2 linked regions of the Oreochromis niloticus genome follow. The protein of the gene in region 2 interacts with the protein of the main gene of each other region in a biochemical or structural test. Links are inferred from orthologs where the notes say so. Each region holds a gene or a part of one and is shown on either strand. Other genes may lie near its edges. The genes, in order: six3a and nr4a3.

The links.
Region 1: the proteins of nr4a3 (region 2) and six3a form a complex in vitro, tested with the Homo sapiens proteins (3 studies listed by BioGRID). The link is inferred for Oreochromis niloticus from reciprocal best matches to the Homo sapiens genes NR4A3 and SIX3.

The regions. Positions count from the first base shown.
Region 1 is NC_031978.2:10,860,012-10,869,294, forward strand, and holds six3a (homeobox protein SIX3a), read right to left. Parts: upstream 4,589-9,283; 5' UTR 4,439-4,588; coding exon 3,747-4,438; intron 2,008-3,746; coding exon 1,815-2,007; 3' UTR 1,014-1,814; downstream 1-1,013. UniProt on the Homo sapiens protein: Transcriptional regulator which can act as both a transcriptional repressor and activator by binding a ATTA homeodomain core recognition sequence on these target genes.
Region 2 is NC_031976.2:19,863,202-19,872,967, reverse strand, and holds the start of nr4a3 (nuclear receptor subfamily 4 group A member 3), read right to left. Parts: upstream 4,545-9,766; 5' UTR 2,992-4,544; coding exon 2,889-2,991; intron 2,141-2,888; coding exon 1,970-2,140; intron 1-1,969. UniProt on the Homo sapiens protein: Transcriptional activator that binds to regulatory elements in promoter regions in a cell- and response element (target)-specific manner.

The sequences.
Region 1 (9,283 bases), on a different chromosome or scaffold from region 2:
GGGGAGAGCCTGAGCGCTGCTTCTAGGAAACAAATCTCTGAGAAAGTGTTTCCACCAAAACTGCAGTTCGTGCAACAGTGTCCTGTGGCAAATCTGCTCTAGTCTGCAGAATAATTGGTTAGGGATTTGGATGCAAAGGGACTGCAGGAGAGAAAGCCTTTTTTTGGAGGGGGAAATGGTTCTCGTCCGAGGAAGAAAAGCTCTTTTCAGGGGCCACAATGGGAGATTGGGACAGGGGAGGAGTCCCATCGTGATTAGCCCATTTAATGGCGCGTTTACTTAATTTCTGTATTCACTAGCAACGGTAAACAAAAGGGGAAATAGCACTCACATTTTTAAGTGCTGCATGACGTTGACATTTGCCAGAATTTGGAGACTGAGGCAGTCATATAGGCGATTTTGTCTGCATCATATAAGTTTGAGCCAGGACACTGGCTCAAACTAATCATAAAATAAAGCAGAATTAAAGTCTTCTTTTTGAAAATAAAATTACAAAATTAAAATTGAATTGCAGCGTTGTGTCGCTTTTGTCGCTGCACACGACCAAGCCATCTACGCCAAGACGATACATATAATTAAATTCTGAGTTAACACTGTACTTGAAATGAAATCAAACTAATTTTAGGTGAGACCAGCCCCCTGACTGCATAACCTGCTCTGAGGCTGGATTAGCCACGATGAGCATTAATGCTTCCACAATCCAATAATGATCCAATATGATCATGTGTTTAGCCACTTATCACTGTCCTTATCCGTAATCGGATGGAAATACAGACATCATCATGCAAAGAGGTATAGCAAAATGAATAGTGCGTTTGATTTTTAGAGTCTTAACTACAAGGCACATAATAACTACGCAAGGAAAGGGAAATGACATTGGCAAACGCAAATAAGCGCTCAGAGTGACCCCGGTGGACGGAAGAGTATATATATGTTTTTGGTTTTGGTTTTTTTGTCATTAACAACCCACCAAAAATCAAAGAAAACCAACAAAAACGCCTAGAGCACTTCAGTTTTAAGTTTTGACAAATATTTTATGTAGGAACACCAAGTCAAGAAAAGTGAGGAAGGGATAGAAAAGAGGATGACACGGGGGAGAGCAATAATTATGTACAAGCATATTTCTACACGTATATTACAGACCGGGAGAATGATCGCATTATTTGAGATATACATAATTCAATATAAAATTTCGAAAATAAAAATAAAATTCTGATACAGTCATAAACGGTTCTGTTCGACATTTTTTGACCATGTACCCCACAGGCAGTGACAGAAGTGTATTAAAAAAAGGTGCTTACGACTTAAAATGATTGTCTGATGAACACAAAGTAAAAACAGGATTGCATCTTGTCTGCATGGCGGCTGCTTCACCGCCATATCATCATCATCATCACTTGGACTAGAACCGGAGATGGGAAAAGGTGCGACGAAAACACCAAGACGATCTGTTTTATTCCCTCTGATCGATGTTCCTGATGGAAAATCTTGCATTCAGGATTATTTCCCTGATTACAAAATCAAAAATAAAATTAAAAAAAAAACCATCATGCAAGTAGTCTAGTAGTATGGTGGTGGTGGTGTGGGGGATGAAGAGGAGGGGGAGGCGTGGGTCCTTTGAAAGCGCTTTTTAATAATAAAAAAAACAAAAACAAAAAAAAAACGACGTGCTTTTAACTCTTTTTATTTTAATATTTATATCAATCGGTCCTTTTTTCATCCGCGATATTTCATAGTCTTTTTTCTTCCTCTCAGGTCCATTTTCCCTGTAAATATTTCTCTTTTTGTTTGTTTTTGTGTTTTTTTTCTCCGTATCATACATCGCACTCCGAGTCACTGGATGTGACGGACAGGATGGACGTCCCAGTATCAACTCTCTCTGTCATACTGGAAACGCTGGTGGTGGGACTTGCCGCGGTTGAAGGCGACTCTGCCGAGCTGTGAGGGGTGAGACCGGCCTCTGAGAGGGACCTCATACCGGCTGGTCCTATTGCTTGGTGCTGGAGCCTGGAGAAGAAAAGAAACGAGGAGGGGGAAAAAAGAGAAAAAATGAGAGAAATGGCAATTAGACCTGAGAATGTCCCCCTTCCCCTCCTCCTCCTGCAAAATAGGGGTTCAAACTCGCCTTTCTTTCCCCCTGCCGGCCCCAGCCATGCATGCGTGCTTTTATCAAATAGCCAGCTTTCAGGGGACAAAACACACCACTATTTAGACTACCAAATGTTGGAGGAAATGTACTAGGGCTGTGTTGTTGTTGTTGTTTTTTAACTTATTTTTTTTTTCTTAGAGATCAACGTCCTAGTCAACACTCTGGAATATAAATGATCCATGTTGCCAGTGCAGGAAAGCTTCAATTCCAACTTGCTGTCTTTGATATGGGCAGTTTGAAGACATTTTCCATTTGGAAATCTATGTTACTGCTCTGAGTTTGTTCAGCGTTTATTATTATTTCTTCATTCTGCACACGTGTATTCATGCTCATCAGCAGGACTTTGCACGCCTAAAACCCCCAAAATAATTATATATCATTGTTTGAAATAAAATATGTGTATTCTCACAATGACAAACTGCCGTGAGCCTTTGGCACAGATGTGTTTTAGTCTGATGGTAGGGGACGTGTATGAATGAGTGACGTTGAGATCCAGGTTACTCCAATCATCCTAAATGTTTATCTCCAATCCACTCATGATAATAACTCCATCGCGTGGGGATAATGTCAGCCTGGAAATATATCTATTCATTTAGCAAAAATATTAGAGTACTGTTCATATGGCTTAGTGCTCTCCAAAGTATTTTCTAATCAATTATGGCATTTCAATGGAATGATACTACACTTAATGTTATGAATACAGCCTATGTCTTCAGATGTTTTTCTCTACGCATGCTCAGATATCAATAATATCGCTATTATCCTTTGAGATAATCGTTGTGTTCAACAACAATAAGCAACATTTGATGTTAAAACGCTTAACGCTTGCATTAAGAAGTTACATTTATCAATAAACATAAATAAATAAATAATTTTATAATTTTAACAATTTAATATGTGTTTAAATGTAAAGATGAGACGATTTAACTTTAGAATACTTATTTTTAAAAAACACTGTCCTGTTTTTATTTCAGCTGATTGAAATAATTCACTAGGTTGTTTACAATTTTACAAGCGAAATAGTTGTAAAATTAAACAAATCCTGCAGCGGAATGTTTTTCTAAATATAAATTCAATAATCTTCATATGTTGCTAGAATACTTTCACTCTTGTAAAAATATAAATAGGGTGTTTCTGTTTAAAAAGAACTCGGCTCAATTATCGCTTCTCAAGATTGACAACAAATGTAGTTTGTGTTTGTACTATTTTATTAGTCAGTTTTTTTAAAATACCAAACTTTAGATTATTTGTATTTTTCATTCTTAAATAAAATTTGCGTTCAATTTAAAATACATTAAAAAATAATCAATCTGCAAAAAATGTTTAAAAGCCGATTTTTGATAATAATAATGAAGTTTTTATGCTTAGGAGAACTCTGGATATCTACAAAAAGAATATTTTCGATGTTTATCCGGATTTGATAACAAAATGTCGCCGCAGCGCACTCCCTCCACATGACAGCCAGACTTATCTTTTTCCTAGACAGTCTCCAATCGCAATATAAGGCTTGAAAAGGTCGTATTTTCTTTTGAATGTGCATTAAAGACAAACTTGTGTGCATGCTCGTGTTTCGACGGCATACTGAAAAGTCACCAACCTGTTTTTGGCCGCCGCAGCTCTGTCTCTTTGCCTCCGGTTTTTAAACCAGTTTCCGACCTGTGTGGGAGTGAGTCCAGTGGCTTGAGCCAGTTCCCTTTTCTTGCTGGGATTTGGATATGGGTCCTGAAGGTACCACTCCCTCAACAGGCTCCGTGTCCGCTCTTTGAAACAGTGCGTCTTCTGCTCGCCGTCCCAGATGGTCCGAGGCAGCGGAAACTTCTTCCGTACCCGGTACTTATCGACAGGTCCGAGGGGACGACCGCGGAGCTTCTCGGCCTCCTGGTAGTGAGCTTCCAGCCACATGGCCTGCAGTTTGCCATGAGAGTCCTTGGTGAACTTGTGGTTCTCCAGGATGTGGTAGAGGTCTCTGAAATTCCCGGTGTGGAACGCCACCACGGCCCGAGCGCGCAGGATGGACTCATGCTTGTTGATCGCCTCGCACGCTCCCGGAGCCACAGGCAAGGACCAGAGGAAGCGGCCCAGCCGTTCGATGTCCCCGGTCTCTTCCAGCGTCTCACAGACGCTTGCCACCTGCTCCGGGGAAAAGTTGAGGGTCGGTAGTTGAAACATGGACAAGTCTTCTGGAGACCTGGTGGTGGGAGCGCTGTTCGCCAGGAGCAGAGGGCGATCAGCGAAGTTTGGCAGGAAGAAATGGGAGGGATAAAGCTCTAAAGGGGATCTGAAAACCATGGAAATGACCTGAGAGAGAAAGAAAATTATCGAGAAAAAGGGAAAAACCGAAAAATACGGCAAGTAAAAAAGATTGAATGATTCAATGGCTATCGCCTAATGACACCAGCCTCATAATATCTCCCCCCTAAATCCGCCGTTGAGTGTAGCATTGAAACATTTTGTTTCCCTTTTCTATTGGTCTTCTTGGTGTCGTTGTAGCGTTGTCATGGCAGCCCTGCCAATCACTGTCAAGCGTGCCAATCATTAGCCAGTACGTAGCGCGAGGCTTTCACCACTTGTGCAGCACGCACGGGGGGTTATCAGAGTCTCCGATCTCCACAGCAACCCTCCCACCGCATCGCGCGCATCAGGCACAAGCCAATGCTCGCCTATCTGCTGAATGGAATGAGCAATTAGAGGGTGGAATATTATTGCGATCTTAACGAGGCTCGTTAAAGCTAAAGAAGATATGTAGACTGGAGATGCTTAGCAGAGACGGGAAGGGAGGGAGGGAGGCAGAGGGAGCTTTAAATGGGTGACAAATGGACAACCAATGACTGCAACTCGGGAATACACGTTTTGAATAGAAGCGAGTCAATTTGCACATTGTTTTTGTATAGTTTTTCCTGTAGTAGCTACTTTTTAGAATCTTTTTATCACTCCATTCATTTTTGTGCGACGGAAATGAAAGCGTTAGTCTTCTGGGTTACATTTTCCTTTTCATAGATACATGTGATCGCTTTACATTTTCTTGTTCTTTTGAAAAAACAAACAAACTATGATGTAGTCCCTTAAGCGTTTAAGGGTTTTTGTTTTATGTCTTTTGTTTCTGTCTTTTGTTTGTTTTTTGCCCTGGATCCGTCGATGGTTTAAAAAACTGCATGTTTGCAATTTTATGACATAATCCGCGCATGACTTTACTCGGCCTAGCTGTTCTGTGTGGTCACTTTATGATGGGTGGGTACTTGTCCGGGGGTATACTGCAGTGATCCGCTCCCCCTCCTGCTGTCCCCGGCCCTGCCTCTGGGACGCTGGGTGCAGTCCTGGCCCCCTGCCCGTTGCCTTCTCTCCAACCAACAGAATTTATTGTTACAAATTAATATCGACGCGCAGCATTGTGTTGATTGAACAAAGATCACGGCATTGTAGTGCGAAAACTAATTTGCCAGTGGCATCGCCCTTTTAACAGTTTATCGCGTTTTTTATGGCGCGGCCCTCTAATTAAAACTATTAGGCTAGTATTGGAATTACAATCAAATGGCAACATGAAAGGTTCTTGGGGACATAAAAGCTATTTCATTTTTTTTGATCTAGTGGTAAGGACATGATCAATGTCCACATTCAGTCATAGGACTCGGCTTATAGTGGTAGCCACGGCGGTGTGATTTTCATGTTTATGGCTAAACTGGCTTCATATTTAGACAGGGCTTATAGGGTGTTAAAATAGTGTGAATTCAGTCTAACACGAACAGTGCTCACATTGTGAAAGAGCCGTGTACAGGGCATAGAATCTAGACTTCGCTTAATCCACCCTCAGCAAAGCTGACATAATGATCCTAAGCCGCCTTTCTACAAAATCATTCAGGAATTCAAAACGTTCCCTTTCCTCTCTCCGAGTTGCACATTCTCCCGGCTGACCAACGACTTCAAGCTTGGAGGGACAGTGAGTACCTCAGCGTGCATGTATAGTCAGTGCTGCCTGTTTATGTCCACCACAAACCTTACCTGATGCGCTTAAACAACGTGATTGCCGCCGAGCAATTAGCCAACACTGGCGCACTATTACGCGTTTTAGGTAAAGCAGTGCTTTAACTCGTGCGAACATGTGCGTGCAGGAGTGGGGTGCGAGTGTCTGTGTCTGGAGGTGTATGTGATGCAGAGTGGGCGTTGTGATGATCTTGCAGCAGGGTCAGGCGTTTGGTTCGTGTGTTACTTCTGGAGTTTGCGCGCGTGTTTGTGCGTGTGGGGGCAGGGTAGAGTATGGGATCAAACCTGTCCACTGCGCTCCTATACGAACCTCAGGAGGACTAATTCCAAGTGGCACTTGAATTGGTCCCGTTGGAAAGCTCTGTGGACTGGAAGTAAAGGCTGGTATTTTCATGCTGGTGTTAAAACTAACCTCCTAGCCTATACCCCCTCCTCTTTCTCTTTCTCTCTTTCTCTCTCACACACATATACACACATGCATGACCCCAACATGAAGTTGAGAGTGCGGGCTTAGCAGCACTTCTCCAAATATGCAAAGCCTCCTACCTGACCGGGTTCCTGGTGTACCAATTTAGCTGATCACCATTCAACCCAAGGCTGCAGGTATTATGTAGCATTATGTTTTGGAGGAGCCTTGTTTGGGAGTAGCCCTCGCAGGCAATTCGGAAATCACTCTTAGAAAAGACTAGAGGTGAAATGTAAAACCTGAATGGGGATTGAGGGAGAAAAGCCACTGGTAATTCACATTCTTTTACATGGCTTTTGTTTATGTTAAGCATGTAATTAACACCTCCCAAACAAGTTTATTCACCTGCCGTAATTGTGTGTTTATCCGAGAGCTTGCTGAATGTTCCTAGCAGCGGGGGACGAGAGCTCTGAATGCACATTGAGCATTTAGCGTCTTCTCCGTTTACTTACAGCCTAAACCTCCAAACAAGACAACACAAACAGCATTTTTCATGCTAAAAAACTGGAAACATGCTGGTCAAGCAGGAACAGGCGTCCGTGTCTGTTAAGCAGCTGGATCTCGCTTCCCATTCCTTTTGGCTGATCGTAAAATGGAATGTCAAACTTTGTTTGGAAAAGTTTTGTATAAATAAAACAAGTTTCTTTTTTTATTTATTTGAAGTTGTTAATGTGATAGGGTAATACTGTTCATTGACCATGATATGTTAGTCCTATCGGAACATATTGCGTCTAAAAGTGTTCGTTAATCTTCATTAAGTAGTTATATTTCTTTTTCTGTCTGTTCCAATAAGGGGAGCAAATAAACAAAGCTGATGTTACGTCACGTTTGGGAGTGAGAGAGGGAGAAGGGGACCGGATGAGAGAAAGAAAGAAAAGGTGTTGACTGTAAAAGGTAAGAGGGAAAGAGAAGGCACGAAAGAAAGGGTCTTGTTTTATTTTTTGCTCCCTCGTTGACCCCGGTTTGGCAGAAGCTTCCCAGAAAAGGCAGCACACCCCTCCCTGGCAAACACAGGAGAGGCACATGTGCCTACTGCTCCATCCTGGATTCATCTCAACATTACACAGACACTTTGGAGAAATGACTGGTACGTACAAAAAAAAAGGTTTTCTCTTTTGCTTTTCTCTTAGAACAAGGCTGTCTAGTTTCTGCTGAATTTATTTTCGCACGCGCCAGAGGATGCATTTATTATTATCCTGCCAACAGAGAAATGCAATTTTCTTTTAATCACGTGGAAACTCAACGCTTGTGTTTTTCTCTCAGAATATCAGGAATTACCTTTCCCCCCCCACCTTGCTCGTTCTTGTCTCCTGCAGGGCTGTAAGCTGGCTCCAGTCCACGAGCGGTCACCATTTGAGCTTGGAAGCTGTAGCTGGAGATGGCACCGCTTCACGGTTATTTCACTGGTCAGTTTGTCCAAAAGTAGGATGGAAATCGAGCTGCAGTGTCTGTAAGTTCTGTTAAATGTAAGCAGAGCAATTTCCGTCTGCGACGTTGTTGACTCGTTGTTATTTTTGCGGACAATTCATTTATTTAAACAAAAATATGGAATTAAACAGAAAAATCTTAACAGACCTTGATATGAGGTTAATCTATCCTTTAGATCAGAAAAGTTACATTTGGTGTTATCTGACCTTTCCCTCACCGAGAATAGGGAAGATCTGTCTTTGCAGAGCAGATGTGTGATGCTGTCGGGACGGGGCGCACAATCGCCTCCATCCCATGCTGGCTAGTCCAGGGTACGGAGACGCTGCTTTCTCCCCACACTGTAAAAAGTATCAGTCTAGAGGTGTCATTTAATGTAGCACTGAGTTTTAAAAATACGGGTTTATTTTTGGGAAAATGAATGGCTGTATCATACATTTGGGAGAAGGATGTAAAAGGACACATCTCGATCAGATATAACTTCATCTGCTTCTGTTTAAAGTTTCTGGTGAAAATTTCGAGTTAGTACAAGAAATGCAGAACTCCGTTTTCTTTAGAAATATTATACCGCTTCTTTTAAAAAAAATGCTATGCATAAAATTTGTGTCACTGGATTTTTTTTTTTTTTTTTTACCGTATCTGAGGAAATTTTGATGAAATGAAAACAAATTGGATATTTTTTGCAGTGCAAAAATGCGATTAAAGCATATAGTCAGCAGCTATAACAACTGCATTCTATTTTTTAAAACCATTTAAAAATTAATATTAGACCTGCATGTGACGCTATTACGATTTGGTTCATTCCATGGTGAACTCAAGCGCCAAAACAATTAAGTCGGTTGCAATATCTTAAAACAGCCTCTGAATAACAACTTGTGATCACATAAGCAATAGGCAAAACCTCTGTTTACGTTTGCAGATGCATGCACGACACACAATAGTGTCTAAATTTAAAATTAAAGAAACAGAAAAACGCCATGATTGAATTTAAAACGTTTTTTCACCGCAAATGTCACTGATCTGTAAACGTGGCTCCAACTTTAATAGTAAAGCTTTTACAAAAGTTTTAACATCTCTCTCTCTCTCTCTCTCCCTCCTTTCTTTTATTGTTTTTATTGTGTGGTCTCATTAGGGGGACTTCCTGGCAGGGCTGGGAGCTTGTATCGGAGCTGTCCAATCAGTGTATTTACACGGGTTGTTAGCGACAGTTAATGAGGGCTCCTCCCCGGGCCGGTAGAGAAAGGCGCCTCAACATTAAGATTTAC
Region 2 (9,766 bases):
TGAGGATATGAGTCAAGCTGTAGGCATACGTGTGCTTGACGTCATCAAGATTTTTTTTCTTCTTCTGCGAGTGACCAGCTCTTCAACCCACGTGGAAAAATACACATGCAGCATTAAGGGCGTCATGGGGCCTTTCTGGGCTATACCTAAAGACCTTTTTTTTTTTTTTTTTTTTTAACTGATTAGGCATCAGAGGAGGAAGAGAACCAGCGAAAGAAAAAAACTGAAAAAAGGAGAGTACAGTGGTAAAGGTTGTGGCTCTCTGTGTTGTGTCAGTAGGTCAAGCCTCAGATTAGTGGCCATTAGTGTGGAAATGTGTGCAAGACTTACTGCACGTGGCACATGCACATGTTTATATTTAAATATGGTAATTTTTTGGTTTTTCTGTGAAGAGATGAAAGAATGAGAGAGAAAAAGGCAGAAAGGCTACAAAGTAGTGTGATTTTTGTCTGTCAGGTGAGTAAAGAAATTGTTTCTCGTACACACACACACACCACCACGTGTGTTCATCCGCTTATAATGTTCAAGATGTCAACATGGACTTGTATATGTTCATTCTACCAAAAGCATACACCCTTATCCTGAAAACCTGTAAAACCACTTGTCTCTGCGAGTGTCTCACCGTCTTCGTTGCTTGACTTTTGTTGGCGTGCCGAACATTCACTCACACACCCATGCTTACAAGCTTGCATCCTCTCTTACACACTCACCACAAGTGCAAATAGAAATCCATCACCGGAGCTTCTTAGTTGTTAATGTCACCAAAGCAAGTCAGTGTAAGGGATTCTCAAAAGTCCAATACCACCATCGGGTCGCCTTTGTGACACTTGCATTGAAGCAGTTGTGTGCATATGTGTCTGTTTGTGTGCGTGTGTGTGTGCAAGCAAGAGGACAGACAACCCAAGCAGAGTCAGACACAGGTGGTGCAGCATAGTGAGGCAAAGGGAAACAGTCTCTAACCTCGAGGTGTGCATTTCAACTGGACAAACTGCAGCTGTTCCAATAACTGAGTGCGCTTGTTCATTGTCAGAATGCCATAGATCTAACAAATGAAAACATGAAGGTGCAGACATAAATTACAAAAACACAGATTTTTTATATCAATAAACTATAAAACATTTTCGGGGAGTCAGCGTCCCACAATGAGTAGAGTGATTTTTACTTTTGTTCCCTTTACACTGTGCACACAACCCCCCCCCCCAAAAAAACCACAAAGCACAGAGACACTTACACAACCAGTTACTTCAGGGTATACAGTCTAGTTTCTCTATTGAATTATAATGGACAAAATTCTCTCTCTCTCTCTCTCTCTCTCTCTCTCTCTCTCTCTCTCTCACACACACACATATATATATGTGTGTGTGTTTGTGTGATTGTATTATATATAAATATATATATATATGATTCACATTTTGCCTCCAGGTTTTGGATATAAGTGTGCCTGGCCTCAGAATTGTCTTATCTTAATGACTGAAATGTCAGCTCACTTGCCAGACAAAATCAACCCACACACATACACATGGGCTCACGGCTGCAGCACAAACAAAAGATCACCAGAACATTCAGGAAAGTTCAAGTCATATTTTGACCTTTAACAGGAGTAAAACACATACATAAAACGACTGCCTACCAGCTGATATTCAGATCTAACCCCTGTGTTTTAAACTACTAAATAAAATGATTTATATATATATATGTATATATATATATATATATATATATATATATATATATATATATATATATATTTTAATTTTTGGGAATGTTGTTTTTTTCTTTTTTCCCCACAATAAAACAATCACCCGACTCATATCACCAAGCACTCCACAACAGCAACACGAAATGAAAGTGTCAGAGCCGCTGCACTCTTTACAAAAGCATCAGATGAGAAGGAGATTAAACAAGAAAGAAAGAAAGAAAAAAAAAGATGAGATGAAAGTGAAGACAGACTGAGCGCTTGTTTCTGTACCTGGTGAAAGAGCCTCGCGCTGAATGGTGCTGGGTGTCCGGGATTTAGGGGTGGCGTGGCTGCGGCCGGGGCAGGGCTCCTGGAGCGGGGAGGGCTCGGCGGGCGTCGCTAAGGAAGTGTCCGATCGCCGGGGCTCCGAGCTCGGCTGGGCGCGCTCTTCCGAACCTGTGCCTGGGTGAGACATGGCTGTGTTAAAGCCAGTGGCAGGCTGAATAATCAGGTAGCCTAAGTGCCTCAAACGCTCGTAAAGACTTTAAAAAAAAAAAGATTACTCAAAGAGAAGCGAAAAATTCTTTCTTTTTTTTTTTTCTCCCTCAAGAATGGAGACCTTTGTTTAAATTGCTTCCACAAACTTAAGCAAATTCGAATTCGGTGTTCAAAATTTCCTCACACTTTCAGAAAAAAATCGGACAGAGAAACATTTTTGCACAATTTAAAGACAACCAGAAAAGCGTTCGTTTCATCTCAAAAGCAAATCGTTATTGGCACAAAAATCTCATCTGAGAGATTCAGTCAGTTTAAAAGCAGTGGAAAGAGATAACAGGGGATGTAAAGCACTGCGCTGAGACGGCGTAAATTCAAACAACTACCAGTGCACACGCTGGAAGGCAAATTAGGGATAAGATTTAGACTTTTACATCCAACACAGGGCAATTCTGACAATGAATATGTCACTGAGTGCATCCTACAAAGAGAACCACAACTGAGGACTTTGGGTTCATTTCAAAACTTTGCCTACGTGGGCGACAGGTTTCATTTTAGCACTAAAGTCTGCGCCGTTATTATTATTATTATTATTATCATAATTACTGCCGAACAGATATTTTGCACCGCAAAACAGAAATTCCACCAGTCAACAAACTATGCACGACTTCTGAAACAAAATAATAATAATGAAAAAAAATATCACAATACAGACCTACAAAAGTGACAACTTTTATAAAAGCAGCTTGCGCCAGTGCCTCCGGGCCATCGCTTTTCTTGCCTCTGATCACCACCGCATTCGCCTGCTCAGGGTTCATCCAGAGGGGAGAGAGAAATCTAGAAAATTGGGAGAGTCGGACCTGAAACCAGACCAGCGGGCTCCTGTGCGCCGTGCGCCTCCGACTCCCTCTCACTGCAGCAGGGTGCACCGTGGCCGGAAGATTTCAAGGCCCAGAGCGCCCCCTTTCTGTAACACACTCCTATATACTCTGTCTCTCTCTCACTGTGGCTCTCTCTCCGCCACACACAGACCCCTCTATGAGACGGTCAAGTTGAGAAGACCACACAGTCTCCCTGTGTGTATCGCAAAACAGCTTGGTGACAACCCACAACCCTCATACGGATCAAGACTAGGGGCACCTGCAGCTTCATGTCAGCAGCCACTTTTGACCAAACTTTGAACCACTTCTCAAAGGACTTACTGGACACCCACGAACCCCCTGTCGGTGGTTCTTTTGTCGGAATATGGCTTTTAACAGTCCCCAAATAGGTTGGAATAAACAAAAAAGGACAAACCAGAGTAAATAAACAAGTCAAGCTGTATAACATTTATTTGATTAGGACTGATTTGGAACAGTTAAGCCATTATTAAATTGTGTATGGAGCCATTTGAGCACTGAGAGAAAAAAAGAGACCCCTTTAGGCCTGAAAAATGATTTTCTTACAGTAACAGCACAAATGAGAGTCCATTTGAAATAAGTTGAAGTCATCTCATTCTTACATAAAGTTGTGAAGCTAAACCCGTAACTGCGTAAATACGCTCTAATCAGAGCCACCGAGGGCGTTAAAGAGATGAAGATGAAGTGTTTTTACTTCAAACAAACTTATTTTTGTACAAAGTGAGACATTCTGCCTTTTTCTTACTTTTTTTAATGAACCCGCCCCCCTTTTACTTTATTCTCAGACCGAGCCGGTCGGTGGGGCTCTGGCCCTGCGCGCACCGGTAACCAAGAGAACGACATAAGAGCTGCAAAGCACGCGCCCCGGAGCGCCGGTAGCCCCCGGTAGCCCCCTCGCACCAATAACTCCGGACAGCGCGAGGCTTCCAGCAAACAGAAACAGAGAAAAGAAAGGACATAAAGGAAAGAGCAGAGAAATATGCGAGTAGCCTAGCCTACTGTAAATCAGCCCTGAGTGGGAGCCTGTCACTGGAGCCTGCGTGCGCGCGTTCGTGCGTGCGTAAACCTGAGTGTGTGTGAGGGAACTGAGGGGAGAAAAGAAGGTAAAACCAGCAGCTTACTTAAGTACCTCAACCCGGTGTTGTCAGCTTATTATTATAAACTACGTGACTGGCCAAGAGGCACGATAGCTGCTGGAGCATGCTTCAAGATGGGCTTCAGAAATGTTGTTGTGGCTTTATGGTTGAGGGTGTTTTTCCTGCGATACATGGCTCATGAAATTCGGAAGCAATTTGAGTACCAGTGTATCTTGGGACAGTTTTATTATATACGGGTTAATGCTAACTGTACGCTCACTCCATGTTACTGGAGGTTAAATCATAGCGCAGTGTGACACAGACTATCAGCCGAGCGATATCTAAACACAAACACACCCACAACCTCACAAACACACACTTACACACACATATATATATATATATATTATAAAAAGACACCACGCCCTCAAAAAATTAAAAATGTAAAAAAACTCCGATAAGACACCCCCCCACACACACACACACAAAACAAAAAACCCAAACAAACCATGGCTTGAAATCAAAGAGCATTAACTCTCCTCTCCCAGCTCCTGCCTGAATGTAGGTTACACCGCTCTCCACTCAGACCATTTCTGCGTCCGACTCCACTATTCATTGTGAGAGTGAGAGGCATCTCATTTCCATGACAACCGGAAAGAATACGATACCTTCTCCAGCGCAAATTAAATTCAGAGTTCAGCCTCATTCGCCGTCGGAGACCCCGCACATAGGCACAGGCGGACAAACATGACCGGCAACACGCGTGTGCCGGTGGCTGACGTGAGCAGCAACAGGTTGGGCGCACAAAGTTGGGCACCACGCGCACAGATGATGTTAGAGTAGTAAATCCATCATGGCTTTTGATTTAGGTGGGCAAAAAAATTGAATACGTACAGCTGAGGGTTATCTTCCTTCTGCGTGTTTCCGCCAAGATGTGAGGCAGAGCGCTACAGATTCATTCATTCATTCAGTTTACTTACTTGTTTGCTGTAGCGGTTCCGTCTTTACATGTAGTAGGCTAATAACTTGGCGTGAAGTATCCGTTTTCCATCCAGAACAACCGCAAAGAGTTGAAATAATGACAGGAAAGAAAAATAATAATAAAAGCACTCTTAGTGATGTCGGAGAGGCGCTGGATTCGTCGGCATTAGAAAAAGAAAAGGAAAGGAAAAAAAGTTCCGTTCCTTCCACTTACTTTTTCTAAAGTAGAAAAAGTAGAAAATGAAATAAAAAATAAATCATCAAACTCCCGAGTGGCTCTAAAGAGCGCGTCTGCGTCCGTCCCCGTGCTGCTGAGTGTGTCAGTGCTGATGGGTGCTTTGCAAAGTGTGCTCTTGTAACGCGCGTTTGTTTATGTGCGCCGTCTGAGGGGAGAAAGTCAAATAGTGCATTTATGTGGGCTCTGCCTCCACACAGAGCTCTTGGTATGCGCTACGTCAATGTGACGCCATGGGAGAGGTGACGTCACCCAGTGTAGAGCTCCCTCTCTCTCTCTCTCCGTACAGTACAAGACACATAAGCCCCGTGTGCCGTGCCAGAGAAAGAGAGAGAGAGAGGGGTGGAGAGAGAATCTGAGAGAGCCAGAGAGCGAGGCGGTTGGTTTGATGGTTGCAGGGGAGGAAGCCGAGGGGGATCCGGCGGGCGAGCCTGCACCACTAGCAGGAACTGTAAAGAGGCTGTTCTTCTAGATTACTTAATAAAGTATAAACTAAACACAAAACCTTACAAAATGCAAAGAAATATTAATAAAATAGATTTTAAATTTAGGTTCATCATCAAAATCTCCCATTTCTCTTTCTGCAAACACAGCATATTAATAAAGGTAACAATAATTTTAGTCATGAGCATGTTTTCCTATACAGAACACATGCTGGGATGTATCTAAATATTTCCAATCAACTATCTGGTGATACTTGTGCTCCATTACATTTCAGAAGCATGTTTTAACCCATTGTACACATCTATCCACAAGCAAACCTTTCAAAAGCAGCATCTCTCCATGTAATGGAGCTCTTTTATGGTGTGTTTCCAGAAGGGATCATATGAAATTATAATATCATTATAAACCACCATAAAAGCACACTTGCATAATTTTGGTGCCTTTTTAATGTGCTCCAGACAGATTTTTACCTGAAATTGCCGATACATAAGAACCTGTAAATAAAGAGCCTCAGAACAGACTTTTTATCTTAAGTAAAGTCATTTATTTCTTTATTTTTTGTACAGCGCAGTTTTAAAACAACAGACCAAAACAACAGTTGACCCAAAGTGCTTCACAGGAGCGATCATTTGTAATCCAGGTCTCCAAGAACCCAATTGCAAACACAACTCAGAGAAAAAGACCATAATACTATGTGTGACATGTTTTCTGGTCAGGGCACTGACCATCAAGCATCACCGTTAGTATAAGTCAGCTTCTCTAAGGTTCATTTCCCAGCATTTCTTTAAGGTGGTGGTTTTCAAACTTTTCCTGGCACACCCCTCGGAAACAGGAAAGAAGCCAACCCACATAACCATCATTTATGTTTTAAATTAATGATTAACACAAAAGGGAGAGCCTTTAGCAAAACTGTGTTTATTTTGGCTGCAAATAAAATCATATTATTTTGACTTTGGTTCGCTCTGTATTTCTTCAGTGTCTGCATGTCTCACCAGGCTTCATGCCCATAGTCTGAGAACAACTTTCAGGCAAGGCATTAAATGAAAAATCACCACCTAAAGCTCAGACTATAACTGGGTTATTTTTCTAAGAGAAATGCAGATAAATATGTTTTTAAAAAAGGTAATATCCCAGGAAAAGGTAATATCCCACAGCCTTATTTTGGTAAAAGATAACGACATCAAGAAAAGTCCTGATACATGGATATTTTAAGTGGGGGTGAGCTGGATGATCTAAGGCTGGGTTTTTTTTAATATGTTTTAAAATAAATATATGTACAAAAGTGTGTTGATGACAGTTTTGAAGGCTGGTGAAATGACCTGATTTATATAATTTATTAATGTCTGTATAGCAATAAAACATAAAAAGGTCAGACAGGATGGCATTGGAATGGACTTAAATCCCTCTCTCTCTAATTTTGAAACACACATTTAAAATTGTGGAGAGGCTAATGTGGTCAAGAGTGGGGAAATACTGCAAGCAGCCAGCGAAGGCAGCAGACTCTGAACGGGATGTGAGAAGCAGCTATCAGTTTCGCTTCTGCGCGCTCGCTAACCTCAAAATTAAAAAAACGCCTCCGGAGACGCCGGGAATAATAATTCTCAACCACCAATCACAAGGCGCGTATTTTTCAGTCAACGTGCTAATTCCGACCAATGATCAGCCCCTGGGGGCGGGGAATGCCTTGACGCACTGAGGCTCGTGATTGACGCAAGCCTTGTTGCTAATTTTAGCTCTTGGCCGACGGAGACAGTGAGATAGCCGACATCCTATTCATTGTCGGGCGGGCCCGACTATTTTAGCGTTGTGATTGTGATCCAGCCAAGCCAAATATAGCTATAGACAGGTATTTTTAGCCGTAAAGCGTGACCCCGTTTTTATTCGGCTAAAGAAGCCTCGGGATGCAGTTTGAAAATGAGTTTCGGCTCCCCAAAAACGGCACACTCAGTGTTAACCTGTTATTTTAGCCGGATAGTTTTACAGTCAGCTGATAGAGTAGAGCAGGCATACCCCAAGAGAAAGCTCCAGTACAGCACAGGCTCTCTCTCTGTGTCACTCTCACTCACTGCGGGGGAAACAGGGTGGAAAAGACCGTAGATGTGAAGATAAATAGCCGTCAGGTCGTCAGACAGACACAGTCAACAGGTTTGTGTGTGTGATGGTTTTGCAGCTTCGCACAGCACCGCTGCTGCTGCTTCTTCTCCTCACATGAGGCGTATCAGCTGAGGCTAAACCGCTGCTGCTGCTGCAGGGGAGCTTTAACCACTTTTCAGTGGTGAGGATGAAAAGTTGTGAACTAGAGGATGTTTTAAAAAAGCCATGAAATTGCGGGGGGGGGGACCATGTGTGCATGTATAGAAAAGCCTTGCTTGTCCACCAAATCGTCTGTCCCAAACTCACTCCCTTCCAGTTCCTCTCGAAGGTATGTAGGTTATGCAGTGAAATGTGCAGGACATCTGACATTCCTGCCAGTTGCCAAGTTTTGTTTGTAGCCTGCTCAACTGTGACTGGTGATTAAAACTTTTACTTTTGAAAGTCTTTGGCAGTCCCTTTGTGCCACGATCACAGCTGCAGGGTATACAGATCACATGCCACCAAAACCACAGGCGTCCAGAGGCTCATTTGAGTTGTGATTTATGTGTAAACTTCCCCTCTTAATTCACATTTCCACACAATTCATGCTTGTTTAAACGTATGTTCTTACATTTAATCGGGCAGACGGGTGGGTGGATGGGTGGGAGGTTTGCTCTGGTTCAGATGAGTGCCTGGAGAGTGCAGGTGTCTTAATGCACCCTGAAGACTGCACATGTTTCTTGTGTGTTCCTCGTATTCAAATCTTCTGTAAATCATAAGCTTATTACTAGATCGTATCCTACATACATATCCTATAGGCATAGATCACAAGTTGTTCTTCTTCTGCATGTCTTGTGTTGTTCTTTGTCTTATCTCAGCTCGGAGTCCCTCTGATAAATTCCCTCTACTTTCGGGGGGGGGTGGGGGATGAAACTTTGCATTAGTGCCATATGCAAATTAATTTATTGGTCATTTCTACTGTCTTTATCTTCAGGTATGAATCATATAGCATAAACTCATCTTATAGCTATCTTTATGTTAGTGTTCATTATTTTTCCCCTGTTCCTGGCTCGTTGGCCCGTCAGCTGCCTGGGCTGTGAGCTCACGGTCCTGACGTGTAATCCAGATTAACCTGCTCTCTTATTCCGCCAGTCTTGGAAGAGATTAGAGATTATGACTGTGTCCTTTTAATAGAATTGGATGTGTGGGTAATCAACTGCGTCCACCAGCGTCGGGTATCAGGTGACTCAGTCACACTCGCACAGCCACTTATTTTGTCACTTAGGAGGCCATTGCATTGATTTGCATTAATTCCCCAAAGACTCACTGTACTCAAAACAGCTAATACGCGTTTAACACCAGGCTTAACTGTAACCAGAGCCAAAGTTACAAACCTAAAATTGAATTGTTTACATATTAGGGTTCACGTTCTGTTCCTAAATTATCCGCACAATGTGACTGTTTGAACTGAAGTGAACTTAAGTCTGTAGTTGTGTTTCACCTGAAACATAAGATCCCTCATCAGCCAGCTAGATAGTGAAGTGAGTAAACCATACAAAAAAGGAAACATCCTACATCCCTAAAGATATATATTTTTTTCCTTTGGCACCTTTGTGACCTCATTGCTGCCTCATGCTATGGTTACACCAGAAATAGAAAGTCCTAATTTAACACTTGGCTGTGGCTGAAAAGACAGGTGGAACAGAAAAAAGGATGTGCAGTTACCAATACTACTATACCACAGTCTTTTTTTTTTTTAAATGGACCTCTCCTTGCCCGCTGTCACATGTCCTGGCATTCTCTCACTGCATCTCATGCTGTAGTTGTCTGATTATTCTGGGTTTTTTCAGACAAAAAAAAGCAAAAGCAAGTGTTTTCTCTGAAA